Linked DNA regions of Tamandua tetradactyla. The protein of the gene in region 2 purifies or fractionates together with the protein of the main gene of each other region. This does not show direct contact. Links are inferred from orthologs where the notes say so. Each region holds a gene or a part of one and is shown on either strand. Other genes may lie near its edges.

Region 1 (7,341 bases), on a different chromosome or scaffold from region 2:
AACCAATTAAATAGGATAACTGAAAATGAAGTAATAATGTTCTATTTATACTTTATGTCCATCCAAAAAATTCACAGTCCTATTATTTGCATATACTGTTATTCTCGCTGAACATATTTAGGATTAATTACAATTTCACTTTTCAAGTCAGTCACAGACTTAAAAATATCTAATTTTCAGGTAACAGTGTTTATTAAATTTAATAGATAAAATAAATGATTACATTTTTAAAACTAATCAGATGGGAAAGATGAGCACATTAACAGTTAAAATATAGAATTTTTTTAGTATTTGAAGGGTTCCTTAATTTCTCCAATTGCTAACAGCTAATTTTACTAGTATAGTTTTTACCCTTTATTTATTCAAAATACACAAAACAGGGAATGTTCTATTTAAAAGTTTTAAACGAGAGATAGGAAAAATACTTCAAACCTTCCAATCTTGGGTATACTAACTCAAAATAAAAACAGTAATAATTGCAAAAAGACCAGAAAAAGAAGTAGAGAAATCAGATGTTATTTAGCAGATGCATCTTAAGTTTCTTGAGGAGTTCCAAATTGATAGACGTAACTAAATACCCTAATGTTTCCATTTTTACCTTTCCCTATTATGTTCTCTTAAAAACTGAAAGCAGAGGCCATACTTGGAAACAGACCTCTCAGTCAAAACTCATTTCAGTTATATGGGCCCCCTTTAGAGAACTATTTTAGCACTTACCACTTCTCAAAAAAATTACTGTATGATAATCCACAACCTTTAACAATCTTCCCTAAATTTCCCTTAAAAAAAAAAACTGCAGCCCTTTAATTTTAATAAAACATTAGCAGTAAATAGGAATAAATAAATATTTTAAAATCATATCAAACACAGCAGTGTTTTTACAGCTGGCACCATTTGGTAAATAAGAAAGGCTAGGCTCTGTCCTATTCGTGCGACCTTGGTCAAGTCTTAACTCCCAAAGCCTAAGTTTCTACACTCTATTAATTCTGTAACACTAATTAACAGACATTTAACAAAAGGTTTGGTTTTAATTAACCCAAAAGGCACTGAGCCATGAACACTAAATACAGTCCATAAACAAGCACGGGTGATTGTAACCCCAGTGTCAGTTAATAAGATGGTTCCATACCCAAAGATTGTTCCTAATCCAAACCATCATTTCACAAATTCAAGTTTCTTAGTCACAAACAAAAACCAAACAGGAAAACGAAAAGGTTCGCCACAGTAAAACATTGTCCCAACTAACGGTACATCAGGAGTTTCATGTAGTGTATGGCCAGTACGTAAATGTTTCTAAAACAGATGAGTGTAGTGTTATGAAACAAAGAAAAGATTTAATTCTATCCTTTATTTCTACTAAGTCAAGAAATCATTTTCTTGATGCTTTAAAAAAAAAAAAGTGTCTTCTGACAATTTAAGTTGGTCGAAACTGAAACAAAAAGATTTAGCAGTTGACATATCCCCCAAAAGAGAAAATGTCATTCCTTTTCTTCCTCTTGTCCAATGACCAGTTATTTGGAGAAACAGTTTCCCTGGCGACCATAATCCTATCAAACTCTTAATAACCATAAAATAACAAAAAAACTTCAAAATTTTCCATTTGCCCACAACTTACACTGGCCCATTTGAGACATAAATTCTAAGTCCAATTCTGATGCCTGACAAAATGCTCCAATTTAAGATATACAATGTCCGAAGAAAGACAACCAACCTCTATTTTTAGTGTGGCAGTCACTCTTCCGGTTCTCTCCAAAATCAGATTTCCTTGACCTATTTTCGTGTGTTCAGAGTATTTGTATTTACTCAATTTTTGCGGTTCCTAAAAACATCAACAATCTTGTGCCACGAGGGTCTTCTTCTTCACTGGTTCTATACGCTACGTTTAAATCTAAATATAGATTGATTTATTAAAAAATAAAAAAACAGCCTTAAGTCTTCTAATTCTGTAATTCTGTACTGCTTTCAATGCCAATGTTATACTTTCACATCCCATTTAAACAGTACCCACACACGGGGGAGTGGGGGGTGCCAAACACTTGAAACATCACTTACAAATATAAAAAAAAAAAAGCATTTCCTAGCATTTCTCAGCTTTCTTCTCCCTTCAGTTCAGTATTCCAACACGACAAAAATATCACTTCAAATACACGTACTTTGAAAACTTGAGTTAGAAGCACTCGCTAAAACGACACTTCGGGAAGAGAACTGGCACCCAATACGAGAACGGCTAACCGGGAGGGGAACCGCAGCGGGCCAGACGTGGGTCAACTCAGTCCCGCGGCCGTGCGGGCAGGGCTGCTCGTCTCCACACTCTCAAAAGCCCTTTGCGGCCAGAAAACCCAACAGGACCAGCACGGAGACCCGTGCCGTCGGCGGGGACCGGGCCGAGGAGGGAGTCCGCACCCCGCAGCCGGGACCCAGCGGCCCGGCGACCCGGCCAGTGTCCCGACGCTTCCACAACCGTCAAACCGAGGAACACGCAGCGCCGGGGGTGACGAGGCCATGGCGGACGGATGGCTGTCGCCCTCGCGGACAAGACCCAGGGATCGAGAAGGAGGAGAGGGAGGAGGAGACAGCCAGACACCCGGAAAACGACCAAATCCATCCGAGGCAGAGGCAGCGCGGCGGGCCTCGCCTGACCCGAGGTCCAAAAGGCATGACTGCATGGGAAACCAGGAGCCGGGTACCCCGAAACCACCGCCGCCCCTCAACCTCGGGCCAGGAGGCCCCGCTGGAGGCCCGACGCCACCGCCGAGGGCGAGAAGGGCCCGCAGACCCCCACGGCCAGGACGCGGGCCCGGCGGGACAGGCCGCGCAGCAATGGCCGCGGCTCCACCTCGCGCACCCCGCCGAGGCCGGTTCCCGGCCGCCGCGGGCCACGGAGAGCCCGCCACAGTATCCAGGCCTGCGACAGCAGCCTGCGCGGGGGCGCGGCGAGCGTGGAGCTGTCCCGCGCCGCCTCCGCGCCGCGCCGGCCAAGGACGTCCGTGTACGCCCCGGCCCGACCCGCCGCCACCCCTCTCGGGCCGCGAACGCAGGGCCGCGGCGGCGCGGCACGGCTGAGGGCACGGCGCGGGCCGGCCGGCTCTCCCCGCACGAGGCACCCGGAGTGGGCTGTTCCCACCCTGCCCCCCACCAGGGCTTCGCCCCGACTCCCACCTCTCCCGCCACGGCCGCGATCACTTCGCAGTCTTTTCTCCTCGGCCTCGGAACCCGCAGCGGCCGGGAACGCGCGCGGACGTCACGTGACCGCCCGGCGCGCCGCGGGAGCGGGGCGGGGCCGCGCTGGGGGTGGGGCCGCGCACGGGCGGAAGCGGCGCCGCGCCGCCAGCGCCCCGTCCCTGCCTTTTCTGGGGACCCGCACTTTTGCTGTCTGCGGACTTCTCACCGCTTTCCATTGCCTTTTACTAGTCTTTGGGTGCCGGAGGTTCGGAAGAGACGTGCTGGCACTGGAGGGAGAGTCAGAGTGGAGGAAATGAGACGGGAGGGCCTGCAGGTCCAGCTGCTCGGAAAGCCGTTCAGGGCCCAGAGGCCTTGGGTTTCGTGGTCGAGAGCCCTCGGGGAAAGCCCTGCGCGTTCTCTTTCCAGTAAAAACCGGGTTTCTCGGACGCTACGGTTTATTCACCCTACGAAGCGCTCAACAGTTTAATCGAGAGGGAAAAAAAGGACCTTCCCTTCTGTTGGGACCCATTATGCGCAATAGAAAAGGGCATAGGCAGCTGGAGGAAGGATTTATCAGCTTAAGAATCTGAAGTTAGAGGAGAGGCAGCGTTTGGGTTGCGCGCTGTGGTTTTAAATATCATCGTTCTGGCAGTAGTCTCCATTTCGTTTTAGCATATGCAGTGCCTTTTTCGGAACTGAATAAATTTTTAAATTTATAGTAAAATGAAGAGGGTGGGAGGGAACGCGTTTTAATCCATAAAAGAGTATATATTTCTACATTCCATGGCAGCCTCCTTACTTGCAGTGATACGACGTTGGGGATGTCATTAGCTCTTTTATTCTGGCTTGGGAGAGCTCGGTGTCCTTGCCAATGTAGAAGTGTGTACGTTTTCTTTTGTTTCTCTGAAGTCCATGTATTTCCGGGTCCTTGCTCATGGCATTACTATGTAACCAGTATCTTAAAGGGTTCATCTATCTTGTTTAATGATGTTTGCTCTCATAAGCAAAACTGTTTTTCTTCTAAACTATAATTTTAGGAATATTGAAGTGTATATATGTCCTTCAACTTGAAGCTTTATTCCGTATCCTTATCCTTTCCTCAGCCATCAGGTTTTACCCCTCTATCTTACACAGCCCATGAACAGATAATAGCAAAACATTTCATATATATTCATAAATTGAAGCTTAAAGAGACAATATTCACCTTTATTTACAATGTACCAACCAGTGTTCTCAGTGCTTTACACATATAAACTCGCTTAATGTCACCATAAGCCACAAGATAGGTGCTACTGTTATTCCAACGTTTCGGATACAGGCACGGAGGAAAACAGTCAAAAGTCGTAGACTGGGGCTTGAATCTAGACAGGGACTAAAAGAGTTCACCTGGTCCAACTTTTCATTATACCAACTGGAGGAACAGATAAAACAGGTTAAATGACTTGCTCATGTATTTTGTGAGAGAAAGAGATGGGATCAGAACACAGGTGTTTCTGGGTCCCTCTGGCTTCTGCCCATCTCATTCATACCGACACTCACAGTCTTTGCCACCTCAGTGAATGGCTCTGTCCTTTCTTATCCAAACACGTCTTTACTTCCTTTCGTTCTCTTATGTTCCACATTCAGTTATAATCTGTTGGCCTTTCCTTCAGAGCACATACATACCCGACCACTTACAGCCTCTCCTACAATGACATCAGCTGTTGTTTGCATTATTGCAAAGCCCAGGAACTGGTCTTCCTGCTCTTTGCTCTCCTTTGAATCTATCTTCAAGAAAGAACCCAAAGTAAAGGTATTTGAAAGACAGTCAGATCATATCACGCCCATGACCTTGCAGAGTGTTCACTTCACTTCTTAGATGGCTGCACAAGCTCCCAACCTCAAAAGTCCTTCCAGTTGCTATTTCCTCTGCTAAGAAAACTCTTGCCCAAAATAGATTGCTCAAATGTCACCTTTACAGCCAGTCCTCCACTGCCACCCTATTTTCTTCTTCTTCTTCTTTTTTTTTTTTTTAGGTGCATGGTTCAGGAATCAAACCCAGGTCTCCCACGTGAAAGGCCAGCATTCTACCACTGAACCACCCGTGCACCCCACTGCCACCCTATTTTAAATCGCAATATTCCCCATTTCCAATATTTCCCATTTTCCATTTCCCCTTCTTACTTTTTCTCTCTAATACCTCTCACCATGTAATGAATAAGTTATTTTACTTATTCATCTTTAGTGTGTGTCTCTCCACTCTGGAATGTAAATCTCAGAGAGCAGAAATTTGTGTTCTATTTTGTATTCCAACAGCTGCGAACAGTGTCTGACACGTTTAGGAGAGGCCCTCTGTAAATACGCATTGAATGAATGCACATGCACATCTGCATGTATGTATGTGTATATATGCACATATACGTATTTATATATTGAATAATATATAAATAAAAAGTGAACTTCTTGGCATTTGTCACCAACCACATATAAAAAGAATAATTAAATCTATCGAACAATATACACCCTATCCAATCAGTCACCTAAATGGAAGATAGTGATTAGTTTCTATTTCTGGATAATCCATGACAGAAGCTCCCAATATTGCTAGAGGTGTGTATTAGTTAGGGTTCTCCAGAGAAACAGAATCAACAGGAAACACTTGCAAATATAAAATTTATAAAAATGTCTCATGTAACTGTGGGAATGCAGAGTTCTCCACAGGGGCAGGCTGTGAAGCTGATGATTCCAATGGAGGGTCTGGATGAACACAGGAGAAGCTCACTGGCTAAAGCAGAAAGAAAGCCTGTCTCCTCTGAATCATCCTTAAAAGGCTTCCAGTGATTAGATTAAGTATCACTCATTGCAGAAGACACTCCCCTTGGCTGATTACAAATGGAATCAGCTGTGGATACAGGTACGTGATCATGATTTAATTCTATGAAATGTCCTCATCACAACAGAAAAGCCAACACTTGTCCAACCAGACAAACAGGTACCACAACTTGGCCAGATTGACACATGAACCTGACCATGACAGTCCACCCCTTGTCAACTTGGCAGCTATATGTATCACCTTAAAGCATACCTAATTTCTAAATAAAAAAAAACAATAAAACACATGTTTTTTCTTTCACCTAACAATATTCAACTGTCCTACATATAACTGGAAATACATTAAATCTCTCCAGAATAAGGTGCAAGTCCTTGGGTAATATTTATTCTTAAACTTGATATCTTACAACATGAACAAAACAGCATTACAGTCCTTGTTTCTGTAACTGATCATGTGATTGTACTTCATATTTATCACTACCTTCTTCAACTACCCATTCCATGTTCCCTTTACCCTCAGCAAGCACTTCAGCTGGCCGTAGTTCTTTGCCTGGTGGGGTGACCCAAACCTTCATTCCTGAAGTTTCAGACCCCTTGGTAGTCCTGCCTGGATTGGGTTGTTGCAGTTTTCCATTGATTTTAATTACAGGGCATGGTAGTACTAAAAGACGCCCTAGGGGATCTCCTATATTCCAAGAAGACTCTTCTTTACCTCCACTATGTAGTTGCAGTCCTATTTCCCCCTGATAGTCAGGGTCAATCACCCCAGTCAATAATGTAATCCCCTTCTTGGCTTGTTGAACCAAGGGCATGAGTAGCCCAAAGTGACTAGGTGACAGTCTTAGATTCCAATTCAATGTAATCATTGTTGTTTCTTCTGGTGGAAACACATCCCATTTTGCAACTAAAACCTATAGACCAACAGAGTTCAGGGTCACAGGGGCAGGAAGCAAAAATTTACCTAGTGGATCATTAAGGATAACAGTGAGTGGTACCACACCCATTTCCACCCCTTGGTTCCTGGACCCATGGATCCTGGCTATGGGAGAAACAGCACCATACAGGGGATGCTGATTCAGAGCATATACAGCTTCCTGGAGATCATTACCCCAGCCCTTCAAGGTATTGCCACCTAGTTGGCACTGTAATTGAGATTTCAAAAGGCCATTCCACCATTCTGTCAATTCAGCTGCTTCTGGATGATGGAGAACATGGTAAGACCAGAGAATTCTATGAACATGTGCCCATTCCCACACTTCATTTGCTGTGAAGTGTGTTCCTTGATCAGAAACAATGCTATGTGGAATACCGTGATGATAGATAAGGCATTCTGTAAGCCCATAGATGGTAGTTTTGACAGAAGCATTG
Region 2 (7,648 bases):
AAAGTTTTACCTTATTTACCTTATTTAGCTAGAATGCCACAAGTTCTTTTTCAACTTGTCATTCTCCACAACATATCAAAAATACCACCTTTTTCTACCATCAACATCCCTGAATTTCTTGAACCTAATACAAGATTTTACATTTTTTTCTACTGAATAATATTTCTCCACCCCCTGAAGAATATTTAAAATTCTCAAGCCATGGAATGCTTACTACCACCAACCCCTTCCGAGTTCTTAAATTTTAGGGAATGCTATGTGTTTATTTGCTAACGGACATCAAGATGACTTTCTTTCAAAGTTTCTGTCATCTCTTCTTTATTTTTCAGAAATAGATTCAGAGAAGCAGTTTCCTTCACTGAAATCTGCTGTTTTCTTGGGGATTACGACGTAAAGAACATAAGATGCTTCTGCTTTTAGCAACATTAGAACTGCAGCCTCCCTACCATCAATTTGCCTCTACAAGTTTTGTGATCTATAAAAAAAATTGTTCTTAGCCTGTAAGTAAGGATGGGGTGGGGGTGGACTGAAGAAGAAACAATTTTCAGATTAATTTTTCTCATAACAAATGATTTCTCAAATCATACTTATCTAGAAGAAAAGTGTATAATCTGGTTCAATTACAAAAAACAACCAATGGAAGAAAAATCCCTATTAATTTTTATGTTGATGACCTTTTTCATTACTAGAACTTAATCCTATTAATAATAGAACTGATTATTCTTTTAATCGAACTAAATATTTTAGATGAAACAGGTCAAATTTTTTCTAAACTGTTTTTTTATCATGACTCATCTTCTGTGGTCTGCAAAAATCTCACACTCCTAATGTTTCCTGGGAATCAAAACAAAACAACCAAAAGCATGCCCCCCCACCAATAAAACCTCCAAACTTTGAATGGCTAAAAAATTAAAAAAGCATAATCTTTTTCAAAACATATTTTATACATACAAACACAATAAATTGCTTACACACTGACATGACTGATAATTACAAATGAGATTATAAAATGTATTTTTGGTACAGTAAGAGAAAAATGCAGCTGGATGCACTTACTTAAAAATTAGGAAAACAGGTTCTCTCTCATTAATCCAATTAATTTAGAATGAATTTACAAAACTGTTCTTAAAAAAAGTCTCATACACATGGGCTTAAAAGCAGGACTTTTAATGCTTCTGGTTGAATGTGTAGACCCCTTAATAATTTTTAATTTATCAACCTTATAACCTGTGCTTGATAATTTGCATAAACTGTAGGGGTGGGTTGGTTCTAAAGGTTCTTAAATATTATGTTTTCCATTTCAATCTGAGCAACATGAAATATATGGAAAAGGTGCCTTGAAATACTGGGACAGAGCTGGGGGTGGGTGGGGAGCAAAGTCAATAAGATGCTAATCCCATAACCTTTAACCTCTAAATATTACTATTTTCAGATATGAACTCATTAATGCACCAAATTCTTGAAAGGAAGCAACCAAGATCTTCCTTGGTTATTTTTATCCAACAGATCAAGTGTACACAATCTAGGTAACATTATTCTTTGGATTATGTACCAGCTGGTCCTGACAGTTTGCCAAATCAGTCATTTAAATGTTGATTACACGGTCAAACAGGACAGTTAAATTAGCTGAGTTAAGGCAGTGGTGACCACCAAAATTTCAGGAAAAATGACTAAAGAAGTGAGATTTGATTTTAGTACTTTTCTCCTTTTCCTGTCCATTGCCCATCAGTTATTGCTGGTATAGCGCCAACAGAACAGTCCATCAAACCTTCCCTCTCAAAGAGACTTTACAAAGGGAAGCCAACAAAAGTGCAACTGATCAAGAAAGCACATACCTCCTGATATTATTCACATTTTAAAATGAGACCAGGTTAAAGTAAACAAATTTTTAAGTGGTACAAAGTGTAAAAGCAACGCCTGTAACCCAAAATGGGACTGCTCAAAAACGTATCCTTCTGCTTTTTAAAAATATCATCTTAATCAATCATGTAATACAAGAAATAAAAAAAAAATTAGGATTATCAGAGGTATGAGAACCTACTCCCACTTTCACTCACACTTGGCTCACTTGAGGTTTAGATATAGGCACAATCTTTCTTCAAAGCGAAAAGTATAAATGCTATTCGGAAATAATCTGAGTGTCCTCACACTGGTTCTTTCAAATTCTTCAATTAAATTTAATATGCTTAGATGTAAAGTGAACCTAATAAAAAATACTACAAGAAAGTAATGCAAACGACCCAAATCTGAGAATGGAGTAAGGTTAGTTCCAACCTAAATTCCAGACCCAAGCTAAAGTACCTGCACCATCTTTCCTCTCATTCTACTTTCCTCCCAGCCTAAATTAAATCTCAGTTCCCCAAAACTTGCCTGTTCTCAGTTCTAGTCTCTCCAGAACCTTGCTAATGATTGGCTATTCTGATAAACCAATAATACCAATGTGTCAATGGCCAATAAAGATATTACGCCCTAAATTATATCCTTGATTTTACAACGTCCTTAGGAGTTTAACCCAGAGGATTGATAAATTATACTGGAACTTATCAGAAAAAAACGACAGCTTTTGGAGATAACTTGCCTTTCAAATCACAAGATATACTACTCTTACTCTTTTTTGTGTGTAGGGCCTTTTAGGGCAACAAGACCGGAAGTTGGAACAGGTATTGTTGATACTGTAAAACCAAACAAAGCAAAACAAAACAAAAGAACTTCCAGTGAGTGCGACACGCTCGTCTTCTACCCTCAATTTCCTTAATTCCCACTCGACGAGAGCGAGAGCTCCAGGACAGATGTCTTTAGGAGAAAAGACTGGGAGCAGAAGAGCACTGGTTGTCCGGTTTAATGGCCTGAGAGCCCCGAGCCACGGGCGGAAGCGCAGGTGGGGTCCCGAGCGAAGTGAGAGAACGCTGGCCTCGGTTACCTGCGGCGAAGTGGAGCGGGGTGGACTTCCTGCCCGCCGTGTCACGGCTGTTCACCTTTTCGGGCGTCACCAACCTCTTGACTCGTTCCACGTCCCCGTTGCGGCACGCCTCGAACAACTCGCGAGCAGCCGGCTCTACGGCCTCAGCCGCCACGCCCGAGCAGGCCGCGCCCCCACCGGCACAGCGGCGGCCCGACATGATCCTGGCCGCCGCCGCCACCAGCAGCAGCGCCAGCAACGGCAGCAGGAGCCCCGGCCCCGCGAGCAGGAGGGCGAGGCCCCCGGGAGGAGACGCGCTCAGGGCCCGGGCCTCTCGGTTCCCTGCTGTCACCGACCCCGCCGCAGTCCCATGGCCGCGCCGCCGCGCGCCGCCTGCCAGGCCCCGCGATCCCGGGCTACCCCACGGTGGCCGAGGCAGCGCGAACCCGCCGCCCGAGCCCCGAAGCGACGCGGCGGCGGAAGCTGGCAGGGCCTCTCCAGCCAGCTCCGCTGGGCTCCGGGAGCGCACGTTGACGTCGCTCCCGAGCGTGCGCAGTGGCCGCAGATTGGCCAGGAAGGTTTCAGGGACCAGGGCTTCGCGGAGGGGATTGTGGGAAATGTAAGGCGAGCCGCGGCTGCGGGGGCAAGAGGGTCTTCGTCCTACCGCCATCTTTGCGGTAGATTTTCGCTGAAGAGGAATGGCCCGATTTATTGTCTTTTTTAAATACGTGAACTTTCTGAGTTGATTTTCCTTACTGTGATTACAGTGAAAAAGAGCCCTTGAAAGTTTTGTCGCGACCCAGGAATCTTGTATATTCTTTTGGAAATTTTAGTATGGAAAATTTGCCCCCCCCCCCCCCCTTTTTTGAGTTTCTACAACCCCTTTCTTCTGGAAGGTTTGTTTTCCGTTTTCTTTTCTGCGTCTCTTTCCATCCGCGCAACTGCTTTTTACAAAAAAAAACAGTTTTTTCTTGTAAGCCATTTCTCAGAAAGCAGTTGTTCACTCAATGAGAAGTTTGGATGAGCTGCCCCAAGATAATTTAAAGGAAACTAGGATAACAATGAAAGTTTATTCCAGTTCTGAATTAATACTTGGGAGGGATGGCTCTGATTAATTACTCTTCCCACAGTTATTAGCTCAGGACGGACTAAACAGCCCGTTCCTAGATCAGTATTGTGGTTGACATGACTGAGATTCGGATGTACCTGGTGTAAAAGCACTGGCAAAAAGGCTTTTCTTGAGTGTAATTTTTTTTTCTGTTACTGACAAGCCCAAGAAAAGTAGTTTAATTTAGACGCGTAAGGTAGTGTTACGTGATCATGTATTTTGCCTCAAGAAGCTGAGATTTTGAAAGAGGTATGCTTACACGAAATGATACGTGTTGACCTTTGGCAGGTTGACATTTCCCCTTGTGCTTCTTAACCTGCGTCTCAGGAAATCCAGTTTTTGTATGGGAGTGTGAGTCACTACTGTGCCGTGAGAGAGGAGAACTGCATTTTATTTTTAAGCATTTAAATAAATACGTGACTTATACATGAACAAAACACTATATATAGCATAAATTTATGTTGCCTATTAATAAAATGAATACCCATGAATCCACCTACTATTAGAACACTGTCAATATCTGTGTCTATCATTACATTTCCCCGTTTCCTTTCCTTGCCAAATATATTCCCAATTTTTATCATTTATTAATTTGTGTTTATCATTCCCTTGTCATGTTTCTATACCTAAAGAAATATTGTTCAATTTTGCTTTTCGTGCTTTATAAAATGTAGGTCTTTGTGGTCTTTTTTTGCTTAAGGAAATGTTCATGACTCATTTAGGCATTTTCATTATTTTGTAGTGTTGCATTCTGTGAATATACAAAAAATTTACAATCCTATTGGATATTTGGGCTGTTCCCAGTTTTTTTGTTATTATGAAAAGTGATGTTATGAACATTCTTACACATTCTCCTGGTACACTCGTGCAAGAATTTAGTGAGTGGTTTTGAAACATTTTGACCACTACTTGTGATACAGGAAATACAGTTAATGTCTTCTACCATTGAACACACATATGTGAAACAAAAGATTCATAAAACAAACAATATTCACCTCTCAAATGTTGGAAAAAATACTATTGTGCGCTGGTTTGAAACTATTTAAAGGATTCCATTAAACTAATCAAGATCCACCTATGTATCCCAGAAAAAAGCCATGTCTTATTTCCTGATCCAATCTTAGTGTGGCTGGGGGGCAGGTACGGGGAATCGAACCCAGTCTCCGGAATGGCAGACGAGAGCTCTGCCTGCTGAGCCACTCAGCCTGCCCCAGCTGTTTCTTTTAATCCTGATTCAATACTTGTGTTGGTTTGCAAGCTGCCAGAATGCATTTTACGAGATCTGGAATGGCTTTTATAAAGGGGGATTTAGTAAATTACAAGTTCACAGTTCTAAGCCTGTGGAAATGTCCAGATTAAGGCATCCAGGGAAAGATGCCTTAATTCATGAAAGACTGATGCATCTGCAACACCTCTGTCAGTTGGGAAAGCACAACTGGTCCCTTGCTTTGGGCTCTGTTGCTTTCAGCCTCTGTTCCTGTGGGGGTTCCTCACTTTACTTCTCCAGGGCTGGCTTTCATCTCTTGGCTTCCCTTGGCTCTCCCCAGGTTCTGGCTTGCTTAATATCTCATAATATCTCTGGCTTGCTTAATATCAACATCTACTGGGCTTGAAGCATCTCCAAACATCCATGTCTCTGTTCTCCATGTGTCCGCATCTGTGTTAGCTCTGCTGTGAAGTTTCTGTCAGCTCTGAGGCTTCTGTTATTTCTCTAGGCTCTGCTCCAAAGTCTCTGTTGGTTCTCTCTGTCCTTCCTGTCAGCTTTGTTGTTTCTGACTCTCTCCAAAATGTTTCCTCTTTTAAAGGATTCCATTAAACTAATCAAGACCCACCTGCAATGGGTGGAGTCACATCTCCATCTTAATCAAAAGTTAATACCCACAATTGGGCGTGCCACAACGCCACGAAGATAATCTAATCAAGTCCCAATTTACGGTGCTGAATGTGGATTAAAAGAAACTGCTGTTCCACAAAATTGGCTCAGGATTAAAACATGGCTTTTCTGGAGTACATAATATTTTCGAACTGACACAACACTGTAGGGTGGGGATTTTTTATTAGATTATCTCCATGGAGATGTGTCGTGCCCATTGTGTGTGGCCTTTTGTTTAGATGGAGGTGACTCCACCCATTCAGGATGGGTCTTGATTAGTTCACTCGAATCCTTTAAAAGGGGAAACATTCTGAAGAAACCTCACATTAAGATGCTTGAAGTATAGTTGCTTCATAGCTGACAGAAACATGAATGTTTGGAGATGCTTGGAGTGCTGACAGAGAGAGCAGATTCCTAGACATGGGCAGATCCCAGCTTACTTCACCATGTACCTTCCCGTGAAATGCTAAGTAAGCCAGAACCCAGATTTGTGTCCCATAGGAACTAAGTGAAGGACCACAGACATTTAGAGAGGAAACCACTGGTGTCAGAAGCTGGAAGCAACAAATCTAGAACAAGAATTGACAGATGCCAGCCACATGGTTTCCCAGATCAGCCTTCCTTCAGCTATCTTTCTCTGAATGCCTTTGGACATATTTATGGCCTTAGAACTGTAAACTTATAACTTATTAAATTCCCTTTTAAAAGCTTTTCTATTTCTGGTATATTGCATTCCTACAACTTAACAAACACTAGAATAGAACTACCTAGGAGTGTAATTGCTGAGTCATAGGGAATGTGAATGTTCATTTTACAAAGTAATACCAAATTGCTTTTCAAAGAGATGGTTGTATTGTACATGCAGCTCAGCAGCCCGTAGGAGTTTTTGTTGATCTGCTCTCATTAGCCCAGGGCAATGTGATCTTAATTTTTCCAATAATCTATCAGTAAAATGATATCTCAAAGAGGCCTTAGTCTGTAGTTTTTAAAATAGCAAATTAAGTTGAATATCTTTTCATACGTTTAATGACTATTTGTATTTCTTTTATGGTAAAATGCCTATTCAGGTCATTTGCCAATTTTTCTATTGGCTTATTTGCTTTTTTCTATTGATTGGTAGGAGTTCTTTATATTCTGTACACTAATCCTATGTCAGTTACATGTGTTAAAAACATCTTGTTTGTGTTTCTAGTTTGTTTTTTTAATTTTCTCAGTGAAAAGATGTCTCAATTTTAATATAGTTGAATTTATAAATCTTTTTGTTTCGAGTTTGTGTGTGTGTGTTTAAGAAATTCTCCCTTGCCCCCAAATCATAAAGAGAGTCTTTATTTTATTCTAAAAGTTTAAAGTTTTGCCTTTCACATTTAAGTCTTTTATCCTTCTGAACTTGATTTTGGGGTATTCAATTTCCAGTCTTTTTTCTCCATATGGATAACAAATTGCCCTAGCACCATTTATGAAATACTCCTTCCTTTTAGAAGAGAGCTGCAGTGTCACATTAAGCTGCCATACATTCATGAGTCTGTTTCTGGACTCTACTTCTGTCCAATGATTGATTTATATATCCAATATCATACGATCTTAGTTAATATAACTTTAATAAATTTTGATACCTGGTAGTGCAAATCCCTCACTTTCTTCTTCTTTGCTTTTTTTGAGATTTTGCTCTTCCATATAAATTTTAGAATCAGAGTTTCAAGTTCCTTGAAAACCCCTTTGGGATTTTTATAGATTTGCATTCAATTTATGGAACAATCTGGGGACAATT

What was found.
Region 1: the proteins of TNKS2 (region 2) and RNF146 purify together in Homo sapiens (co-immunoprecipitation; 3 studies listed by BioGRID and IntAct, with this or other methods). This does not show direct contact. The link is inferred for Tamandua tetradactyla from reciprocal best matches to the Homo sapiens genes TNKS2 and RNF146.

What each region holds. Positions count from the first base shown.
Region 1 is NC_135331.1:188,537,184-188,544,524, reverse strand, and holds the start of RNF146 (E3 ubiquitin-protein ligase RNF146), read right to left. Parts: upstream 3,268-7,341; 5' UTR 3,160-3,267; intron 1,804-3,159; exon of another isoform or gene 1,712-1,803; intron 1-1,711. UniProt on the Homo sapiens protein: E3 ubiquitin-protein ligase that specifically binds poly-ADP-ribosylated (PARsylated) proteins and mediates their ubiquitination and subsequent degradation. May regulate many important biological processes, such as cell survival and DNA damage response.
Region 2 is NC_135339.1:53,497,521-53,505,168, forward strand, and holds the start of TNKS2 (poly [ADP-ribose] polymerase tankyrase-2), read right to left. Parts: upstream 3,135-7,648; 5' UTR 3,120-3,134; coding exon 2,921-3,119; intron 1-2,920. UniProt on the Homo sapiens protein: Poly-ADP-ribosyltransferase involved in various processes such as Wnt signaling pathway, telomere length and vesicle trafficking.